Linked DNA regions of Saccharomyces cerevisiae S288C. Each later gene encodes a partner of the first gene's protein in a complex. Each region holds a gene or a part of one and is shown on either strand. Other genes may lie near its edges.

Region 1 (7,447 bases):
ACACAGTTGAAAAAATACTGTAGAAAAAAAAATAGTCCAGGTCTGAAGAGAGTTGTAATTTTAATACTCGTAGCAGTGTATTTATCAATTCAGCAAGAATACTTTCGAAGACATTTGATTTGCTATAAAACCTTATTAAAGGTACGGAAAGTGCTCGAATCATTACAACAAGTGGATGTAATGATTCATAAATATCATCTTCGATTTAAAGAAATAAAAAATCATAGTTTTATATCAAGAGTGTCTCTTATTTCAATTGCTGACGAGCACTCATCTGTGATAAAAGAGCTCCTAGTATTCTCAAGTGATGCACTGTTTTATAAACTCAAATCAATCATTCCAGATATTGTCATCTTTAGCGATACAAGTGAGCTATCGAAATACTGTGAATTATACGGTATCGATGTACCAAATCTTTACTATAATAATACTACCACAGTAAAAGACCTTGATGGTAAGCTTTATCGTCTCAAACTGCTAAAGAAATTTATGCTCTGTTGTTTGCTGTCTTTAGATATGACAGGAAACGAAAATCTTTCAAATGTAAACATGAGAAACGCACTAAACAAAATCTTTCCAGATTACATGGCAAGGGTGCAACTCAAAAAAAAATATAATCCAATAGGTACATTCCAAAATATAGTTAGTCTATTAAGAGGATTACATTCACTACTCTCCACTGTCCTGGTGTCTTTGAATGACCATAAGCAAATATTGTATGCATTTCCTGAAGAAACATCAACTAATACTGGTTGTGAAAGAGCAAATGTATGTTCATTTTCAAAGAATGATAAATTGTTTCAGGCACTTAATTACTTAAAAATGATCGAGAACAATCTATTAGCTATTGACATTCGAAATGGCATAACAGAGAATGATAGGAACATCATTGAGGATAAGTTGGAGGAGCTCATTACTTTCTGGAAAACCTCGAAAATTTGTGGCAATATTTCTAGGATACAAAAGGTATCCCCAACCAATACAATCAACCATGGTTTCCATCTGGATATCCTCAAAGGCAGAAAGTCACCCCGTTCTTCGTCAGTACAAGGTCTTAGCTTAGAGAGGAAAGTTGACTTCATTGATGTTGCTGAATCGGTGAATGACTCTTTTGAAAACGACACCGAACTAGAGGAATATGAAGACTACGACTGTCAGGAGGAATGTTCTGCCGGTTCACGCCAAAATCACCGCGTAGATTTTATCGGAAAGGATAGTTGTAGGAAACCAGATTTCAAGCAACTTTCTGACAACGAATTACGACGCAAGTTAGATGAAAGAATTTTGAAATTGGCTCAAGAAAACCGTGAAGGCAGGGAAAGGCTAAGAACTGCAAAGTCCTTTGAATTGCTAAGAAAAGCTCAGGCTTCCATGTCCGTAAAGTTTGGCTTTCAAAAACCATTAAGAGACGATGCCTTTCTTGAGAGCAGGCCTCTCAGCAAATGCAAAGTATCTTCGGAAGAAACTATCCCATTTTTGTATGAATTAAAAGGATTACTAGGAAATGATTCATGATAATATATTTTAATATGTACTTTGAAATAACTAATTACACTTTAATCATATTTTCTAAATAAGCAAATGACGGGCTGCGCAGCCGGGTTATTTTCGACCCCAGTCTGTCAAGTGCTTTAAGTAAGCGAATATTTAACAAAGAAGAATTCAATATTGCAGGAAGTCTTGAGAAAAGATCAAGTGCCAAATTACCCCATTGCTTTTGGACTATTCATTCACTCTTTTCTTTTTTGTTATTTCTTTTATTTGACCTTTATCGTTATATACACATAGCTTCCATACAGCAAATAAACATCCTAATTGAAGTAGATAATTTAATTCCATTCTTTATTAAAAAGAAAAAAATATTATGGGCATAGCTGATGGGCAAAGAAGAAGATCTTCATCACTACGAACGCAGATGTTCAACAAGCATTTGTATGATAAATATCGCGGAAGAACTGATGATGAGATAGAGTTAGAAGATATAAATGAGAGTAAGACGTTCTCCGGTAGCGATAATAACGATAAAGATGACAGAGATGAAACAAGCGGCAATTATGCTGCTGAAGAGGATTATGAAATGGAAGAGTATGGTAGTCCTGATGTGTCATATAGCATTATCACTAAAATACTTGATACTATCCTAGATCGAAGGAGGACGTTCCATTCGAAAGACGGTAGACATATTCCGATTATATTAGATCATAATGCAATTGAATACAAACAAGCTGCTACTAAAAGGGATGGTCATTTGATAGACGAAAGGTTCAACAAGCCTTACTGCGACAACCGAATAACTTCATCAAGATATACATTCTATTCCTTTTTGCCTAGACAGTTGTATGCACAATTTTCAAAGTTAGCCAATACTTATTTTTTCATTGTCGCAGTATTACAAATGATACCTGGATGGTCTACAACTGGTACTTATACAACTATTATCCCCTTATGTGTATTTATGGGTATATCCATGACAAGAGAGGCTTGGGACGATTTCAGGAGACATCGTTTAGATAAGGAAGAGAACAATAAACCAGTGGGAGTGTTGGTTAAAGATGGAAATAATGACGCACAAGAAGTTTATACACTACCAAGTAGTGTTGTCTCATCCACTGCATATCTAACTAAATCGGCCGCTGCTGAAAATAATCCACCTTTAAACGATGATCGGAACTCCTCTCAAGGACACTTCTTAGACACGCACTTCAATAACTTTGAACTACTCAAGAATAAATACAATGTTCATATTCATCAAAAGAAGTGGGAAAAACTTCGTGTTGGAGACTTCGTACTTCTCACACAAGATGATTGGGTACCTGCAGATCTGCTTTTATTGACATGTGACGGCGAAAATAGCGAATGTTTCGTTGAAACGATGGCTTTAGATGGCGAAACAAATTTGAAAAGTAAACAACCCCATCCAGAATTAAATAAGTTAACCAAAGCCGCATCAGGTCTTGCAAATATTAATGCTCAAGTTACCGTGGAAGATCCCAATATTGATTTATATAATTTTGAAGGTAATCTTGAATTGAAAAACCATCGCAATGATACCATAATGAAATACCCTCTAGGTCCTGATAATGTCATTTATCGTGGTAGTATTTTGAGGAATACTCAAAATGTTGTTGGTATGGTCATTTTCAGTGGTGAGGAAACAAAAATCAGAATGAATGCTTTAAAAAACCCAAGAACGAAAGCCCCTAAGCTACAAAGGAAGATAAATATGATTATCGTGTTTATGGTGTTTGTCGTTGCCACAATATCTTTATTTTCTTATCTTGGCCATGTTTTGCATAAGAAAAAATATATCGACCAGAACAAAGCATGGTATCTATTTCAGGCAGATGCTGGCGTAGCACCCACAATAATGTCTTTTATCATCATGTATAACACTGTGATTCCTTTGTCCCTATATGTAACAATGGAAATTATCAAGGTAGTCCAAAGTAAAATGATGGAATGGGACATAGACATGTACCATGCAGAAACGAACACGCCATGCGAATCGAGAACTGCCACCATTCTGGAGGAATTGGGGCAAGTATCTTATATTTTTAGTGATAAAACCGGAACGCTGACGGATAATAAGATGATATTTCGGAAATTTTCTTTATGTGGATCATCTTGGCTGCATAATGTAGATCTCGGTAATTCTGAGGATAACTTTGAAGACAACAGAGACAATACGAACTCCTTGAGACTACCACCAAAAGCTCACAACGGCTCTAGTATAGACGTTGTTTCCATTGGAGATCAAAATGTTCTTGATCGGTTAGGATTTTCGGACGCACCAATTGAAAAAGGGCATCGTCCATCTTTGGACAACTTTCCTAAATCTAGGAATTCTATTGAATATAAGGGAAATTCATCAGCAATTTATACAGGCCGTCCCAGTATGAGATCACTTTTTGGGAAAGATAATTCACATCTAAGTAAACAAGCTTCGGTTATTTCACCCTCCGAGACATTTTCGGAGAACATTAAAAGTTCGTTTGATTTAATTCAGTTTATTCAAAGATATCCGACCGCCCTGTTTTCTCAAAAGGCTAAATTTTTCTTCTTATCATTAGCTCTTTGTCATAGCTGTCTTCCCAAAAAAACTCATAACGAATCAATAGGAGAAGACTCCATAGAGTATCAGTCTTCATCTCCAGATGAATTAGCACTAGTAACCGCTGCTAGAGACCTTGGTTATATTGTATTGAATAGAAATGCACAGATTTTGACCATTAAAACTTTTCCAGACGGTTTTGACGGTGAAGCAAAATTGGAAAATTATGAAATTTTGAACTATATTGACTTCAATTCTCAAAGAAAGAGAATGTCTGTTCTTGTACGTATGCCAAATCAACCAAATCAAGTTCTTTTAATTTGCAAAGGTGCTGATAACGTTATTATGGAGCGTTTACATGATCGCGAATTGGCTGCCAAAAAAATGGCAGACATATGCACCAGTACCAAAGAACGTAAAGACGCAGAAGCAGAGCTGGTTCTCCAGCAAAGAAAGTCTCTGGAAAGAATGGTAGATGAAGAGGCTATGGCCAGGACCTCATTGAGAAATTCTTTGTCTAGCGTACCGAGAGCAAGTTTATCATTGCAGGCAGTGAGAAAAAGTCTTTCAATGAAGAACAGCAGGACCCGTGATCCAGAGAAACAAATTGACTCCATTGATCAATTTCTAGAAACGGTCAAGAAATCTGATCAGGAGATTGGCAGCGTTGTAAATAAAAGCAGGAAGTCACTCCATAAGCAACAAATAGAAAAATATGGGCCGCGAATTTCGATAGATGGAACACATTTTCCGAACAACAATGTCCCAATAGACACAAGAAAAGAAGGACTACAGCATGATTACGATACAGAAATTTTGGAGCACATTGGAAGCGATGAGTTAATTTTGAATGAAGAGTATGTTATTGAAAGAACTTTGCAAGCCATCGATGAGTTTTCGACTGAAGGCTTAAGAACTCTGGTCTATGCTTACAAATGGATCGATATTGGGCAGTATGAAAATTGGAATAAACGCTATCACCAAGCCAAAACCTCCCTTACTGATAGAAAAATCAAAGTCGATGAGGCAGGTGCAGAAATCGAGGATGGTTTAAATCTGTTAGGGGTAACTGCAATCGAAGACAAGTTACAAGACGGCGTTTCAGAAGCTATAGAAAAGATCAGAAGAGCCGGTATAAAAATGTGGATGCTAACAGGGGATAAAAGGGAAACGGCTATAAATATAGGGTATTCGTGTATGTTAATCAAAGATTATTCTACGGTAGTCATTTTAACTACTACTGATGAAAATATTATATCAAAGATGAATGCGGTTTCTCAAGAAGTTGATTCCGGAAACATAGCACACTGCGTTGTTGTAATTGACGGTGCCACGATGGCCATGTTTGAAGGAAATCCTACATACATGTCTGTATTTGTTGAGCTTTGCACTAAAACAGACTCGGTAATATGTTGCCGTGCTTCACCTTCTCAAAAAGCCCTTATGGTTTCCAACATAAGAAATACCGATCCAAACTTAGTCACGTTGGCAATAGGTGATGGTGCGAATGATATTGCCATGATACAATCTGCCGATATAGGTGTTGGAATAGCCGGTAAGGAGGGATTGCAAGCATCTAGAGTATCTGATTATTCTATTGGCCAATTTCGGTTTCTCTTGAAATTGTTATTTGTTCATGGGCGTTATAACTATATTCGCACCTCCAAGTTTATGCTTTGCACGTTTTACAAAGAAATTACGTTTTACTTTACGCAGTTGATATATCAAAGATATACAATGTTTTCAGGCTCCTCTCTATATGAGCCATGGTCATTGTCCATGTTCAATACTCTATTCACATCACTACCGGTTCTATGTATTGGTATGTTTGAGAAAGACTTGAAACCAATGACTCTACTAACAGTCCCTGAATTATATTCGTACGGGCGCCTTTCACAAGGTTTTAATTGGTTAATATTCATGGAGTGGGTTATCTTGGCAACTACGAATTCTCTTATCATTACATTTTTAAATGTTGTAATGTGGGGTATGAGTTCTCTTTCAGATAACACTATGTATCCTCTAGGTCTCATCAATTTCACAGCCATTGTTGCCTTAATTAACGTTAAATCCCAATTTGTTGAAATGCACAATAGGAATTGGCTGGCTTTTACTTCTGTAGTTCTATCCTGTGGAGGTTGGTTAGTGTGGTGTTGTGCCCTTCCTATTTTGAATAATACTGACCAAATATATGATGTAGCATATGGCTTTTACAATCATTTTGGTAAAGACATTACATTCTGGTGTACTAGCTTGGTGTTGGCACTGTTACCTATCACTTTAGATATAGTTTACAAAACATTCAAAGTTATGATATGGCCATCAGATTCTGATATTTTTGCTGAGCTGGAACAAAAAAGTGATATCAGAAAGAAGCTGGAACTAGGAGCCTATAGCGAAATGAGGCAAGGATGGACGTGGGATAAAGATCCCAGTACTTTCACAAGGTACACAGACAAAGTTCTTTCAAGGCCAAGAACTAATTCACGTGCAAGTGCAAAAACTCATAACAGCAGCATATATTCAATGTCAAATGGGAATGTAGACCATTCCTCAAAAAAAAATTTCTTTGGAAACTCTTCTAAAAAGAGCTCTGAACGATACGAGGTATTACCTAGTGGCAAGTTAATCAAGCGACCATCCTTGAAAACACAAAGCAGTAAAGACAGTATTGGCGGCAATATAACTACTAAACTGACGAAGAAACTGAAGCTTCCATCGAGGAATGTGGAAGATGAAGATGTGAACCAGATTATTCAGGCAAGGCTAAAGGATCTGGAGTAATTCTCGTGATCTTGTTTAATTACATTATTGAGAACATTTTTATATATATACCTTTTATTGGAAATTAGTAGCGAGCTTAGAAGACTTACTTGATTTGTTGAGTCGAATATTATTTCGGCATCCACACATTAGAAAATTAACAAGATGTATTTTGAGAGAAAGCAAGGCACAACGCATGGGAAATCTTCACAAATTTTAAATACTATCTATAAACTAACTCTAATTATAAAAGTGGCTTGATTACTTTCGGTGTCAAAAGAAAAAGTAAATGTATGGCGTAAATGCTATGATTAGTTATCAGAAAATAAAGATGTTTATAAGTATTATACTGTCTGATTTAATTTCCTCGATATATTAAAATTCTAATACCATTATGTCCTTCTGGTAAACTGTGGAACAAAATAAAACATAGCCAGGAAGCCTGAAGGAATGACCTAAATGTCATCTAGTATACAAATGCGTTTTTTCAATTTTGCTTGCTCCTTGTAGTTTTATTTTATAGTACAACTTTGACTAACGTTGGAAAATAATAAAAAAATGACAGTAAAAATATTGTGTTTAACTAAACAGGTAATCTTTAATCATAGGAAGAACAATAAAGATGATGAAAAG
Region 2 (3,810 bases), on another chromosome or scaffold:
ATCAGCATCCTTTCCAGGGGTTCCCAGGATGGTTGGGGGAGAAGGAAGATTTACCGAACGAACGTAAAATATTAGATACTCAAGTGAAGCATGATATGAAGAAGCAAAACTCGCGTCATTTCTCGCCATCCTTTTCTAACAGAAGGAAGGCTTCTTCAGAAGATCCTATGGGTACACCTTCTTCAAACGGGAACACACCGGAGTACACGCCTGCGAGTAAATCGTTTCAAGATATATACAATAATCATACAAGCTCCTCTAGCGCGACACCGAGAAGAGCTTCATCACGGCCGACTAGACCTTCAGCAGGCCAAGAATTCAGGGCAAGTCTCGGTCGAAGTAAAACGTCGAACAGTTTCAACACCTCCAGCACGCCAACGCCGCCACCAGACGCAAGTAGTGGAGTAATGGCAATGAAGGACAGACTAAAGAGACGCAATAACGATTATGGATTTTAAATAGCACTATACCTTGCTGAAATAAAGCGAAAAGAACATTTAATGAATATATAGGTATCGTATATGTACTGAATAAAGTGTTTGATACAGAATGCAAGGAGATAATATAGTATGGTATATAACCTCGTCCTTATTTTGAATATACATGAAATTACAACGCTTCCCTAGAGACCGAATCAAACGCAGGGATTTTATAGTAAATGATAATCAATCATAAAATTTCTCTCAATGGAATACTAACGACACTACTCTCATCGAATGGGGTATCGCTGTTCTCAAAATTTAGGTAGCTATGATCATGCATAGGTCTTGGTTTGAAGATGACTTTTATCAGGAATAGTATGGCGAAAAGAGTTGCAATCCCGGCAACAATCAAATAAACAATCCCTAATGCCTCGTTTCCAGCACCGATAATACTGTTTGTGGTTAATACAAAAGATTTTGTTCCATAGAAAGATCTTACTGGGTAGTTGAGTTCTATATCAGCAATGTAAATACCCTTACCTAACCCATTGGTCTCATTTTTCATTGCTAGCTTATAGAAGTTGGGCAATGCAGCAGTTCTCATCCATATTTTGAACTGTTCCCAGTTTTGTAGGTCTGGAATGTTATCGTCAGTGTAGCCATTGGGAAATAACTTGGCCCAATTTGGGGGCGGTACGATATCGGATGCATTGTATTCGGTCTTTCCATATCTGTGGCTGTCGGTGTCCCACGCAATACCTTTTGTGGTAAGCAAATAATCTGCAGTATCGTTTACACCAGTAAGTGTTGTGCCGAATGTATCATTGAACATCGAATTTGCTATCAATCCACAGGGGAATATGGTCTTATTTTCTACCGTCCTTAAAGGGTCACAGTTTGGATCCAGATCATTTCCGATCAATGCTTTTCCTTTTAATTGGTCTAGGTCAAGAGATTGCACATATTCTCTATAGTTTTGATTGAAATTTGTTAGGCGGTAATAAACATAAGTAGATTTCTTGATATGATTTGGAACTTCGAACTGTATTCGACAAGTTTGATTGCCTAATTCAGGATCCGTAAGTACCATCCATTGAGGTTGGACTGCGACTTTCTTACTGAAGTGGTAGTCCACGTACTCGGAGGGAATCGTTTCAAAATGCTTCGCCGGTGCCAATGCATCACATTCTGTGTAGTTTACCACTAGTCTTTGGACACTTATCGTGCTGACCACCAGCCCTATACCAATGGGTGCGAAGACGCATGCCATCAAAATAAGCAACGGCAGTACGCTCTGTGGCGACAAGATGGGCTGCCAGGCTTTGAGGCGCTGTTGTCTAAACGATGTGTTTGCCGGTTTCCTGGATTTTTGAGCATTTTGCTTACTAGACAACTGTTTTTTCTCTTTCCACCTTAATATCAGTCCCATATTGCACAAAAAAATCTAAGTTCCAGCACTTTATTCTAGATGTTAACTATTGATTAGATATCTATTTGCTTTTAACTTGTATATTGCGCCATCCTTCTATCGTTTCTTCAACTATCGCGTGAAAAATAGTACGCAAGCAAATCGAAAAAACTACATAGAGTTCATTGAAAAGAAAGGCAATGCTTCATCTGATGTTTACACAGAATGCTAGAAATTGAAACACCGATATATGATTTATTTAAGTTACACACTACTGACTAACTGACAGAGGAAAGAAAATAAAGAAAAAAAAATAGGTAGATAAGGATTTTGAAAAGAAATAGAGTTCGTTAAATGTATGATGAATAAATGAGGGAAAAAATAAGAGTGAAAAAAAAATCAATAAAAAAAAAAAAAATACCGACACTTATACGTCAAAGCCCCCTTTATCTCTTAAAAAAGGTTCGATGACTATTACTCCTCGATCTGTTGGAGTTTGGAGTGTATGCAATTTTCCCATAAGAATTGGTATTACCATAAATCATTGAATTGTTATCCTGTTCCATCAAACTCATTGAATTGAAGTCATGGAATGGATCATCTTCAGAGACTTCATCGTCGTATTCAACTCGTTCTTCAAACATATTTTTCTCTTGCTCATCGAGATGTTTATGGCTGTCTTGACTAGTCTGTCTCTTCTTATTAGATGATAATTTAGCAAAATCATATCCATCCTCAGATAACACTGGTATCAGAGGCGGTTCTTGATTTCTCAGCAAAGACCATTGGACTTTCTTGAAAAAGGGGTGTTTCTTCACGTCGGCAGCGCCCATTTTGCAACCCAGTCTTTTAGATTCATTTTTTGTCAGTAATTTTTTGATCAAATCCTTACAAGTTCTGGAGATTTCATTGTTATTGGGAAAACTGACCTCATTTTTCAAAATATTCGTAAAAGTTTCATTTGTGTTATCGCCTTTGAATGGAGTGAAACCAAATAACATTTCATAGATCAAAATCCCTAGCGTCCACCAATCGACCGCAGCGGTGTGGCCATTACCTCTTATGACTTCAGGGGCAATATATTCTTCAGTTCCGACAAAGGAATTGGTTCTAAACCCATCTGAGCATATTTTGGTATCAACAAGGGTTGATTGAGCGGAACCCTTGACAACAGGAACCTTGGAATCTTTAGCCTGAATAGACAAGTCGAAGTCAGAAAGCATGATATGGCCTGATTGATGCAGCAAAATATTCTCTGGTTTTAAATCTCTATAGATAAAACCCAACAGATGTAAATATTCTAGTGCTGCTGTCACTTCACTGGCATAAAACCTGGCATCGTCTTCACATATACATTTGGTTTTCCTTGTTTGTAAAGCTCTGAAAAACTCCCCGCCCATACAGTATTCCATACAGAGATACAAATAGTCTTCAGATTGGAACGAATGGTATAGTGTGACGATGAAGGGATGATTGCTGGTGGCAAGAATCTCTTGTTCTGTCAGAACACGTTTGATTTTATTTCTTTTTATCATTTCGTCTTTACTCAAGACTTTCAAAGCATACACTCTATTCGTCTTTTTCTCTCTTACTAAGAAAACTTTACCTACATCACCTTGGCCCAGCAATCTTATTTTCTCAAAAGACTGTGGTCCCACCATGATATCTTGAAATTTATTGCTGAAAGATTTAGTTCTCAAACGTCGGGACCTCCTAGGTTCTGGAAAATCAGAAATCTTTGGAGAGGGTTCTTGAGGGAAAAATGAGTTTGGAGGAGGCACTGATTGGCCTGGGATTTTGTCGTTTATATTACTGGACCCTGATGTTTTCCTTGCTGAAGAAGATGTCGGCGATGTGGCAGATGCGAGTTGCAACCCGTTTGGTTCTGAAGCTGCTCTTCTTAAAGGTATTTTTATCCTTGGATGGGTAGCTTTACCATTTTGTTTGGTAGGTGAAAGATTTCTCGTTTTATTGTCGGTT

Evidence for each region. Proteins that work in one complex are often made in the same cells at the same time.
Region 2: DNF3 (region 1) and YNR048W share a complex: the UniProt entries of both Saccharomyces cerevisiae proteins name them as parts of the flippase complex.

What each region holds. Positions count from the first base shown.
Region 1 is NC_001145.3:578,339-585,785, reverse strand, and holds DNF3 (aminophospholipid-translocating P4-type ATPase DNF3), read left to right. Parts: upstream 1-1,864; coding exon 1,865-6,835; downstream 6,836-7,447. Other genes in the region: INP2 (Inp2p), read left to right, coding at 1-1,515; type I HSP40 co-chaperone HLJ1, read right to left, coding at 7,394-7,447. UniProt on the Saccharomyces cerevisiae protein: Catalytic component of a P4-ATPase flippase complex which catalyzes the hydrolysis of ATP coupled to the transport of phosphatidylcholine and small amounts of phosphatidylethanolamine from the lumen to the cytosolic leaflet of the trans-Golgi network and ensures the maintenance of asymmetric distribution of phospholipids.
Region 2 is NC_001146.8:709,671-713,480, reverse strand, and holds YNR048W (putative aminophospholipid translocase regulatory protein), read right to left. Parts: upstream 1,852-3,810; coding exon 670-1,851; downstream 1-669. Other genes in the region: MSO1 (Mso1p), read left to right, coding at 1-458; serine/threonine protein kinase FPK1, read right to left, coding at 2,277-3,810. UniProt on the Saccharomyces cerevisiae protein: Accessory component of a P4-ATPase flippase complex which catalyzes the hydrolysis of ATP coupled to the transport of phosphatidylcholine and small amounts of phosphatidylethanolamine from the lumen to the cytosolic leaflet of the trans-Golgi network and ensures the maintenance of asymmetric distribution of phospholipids.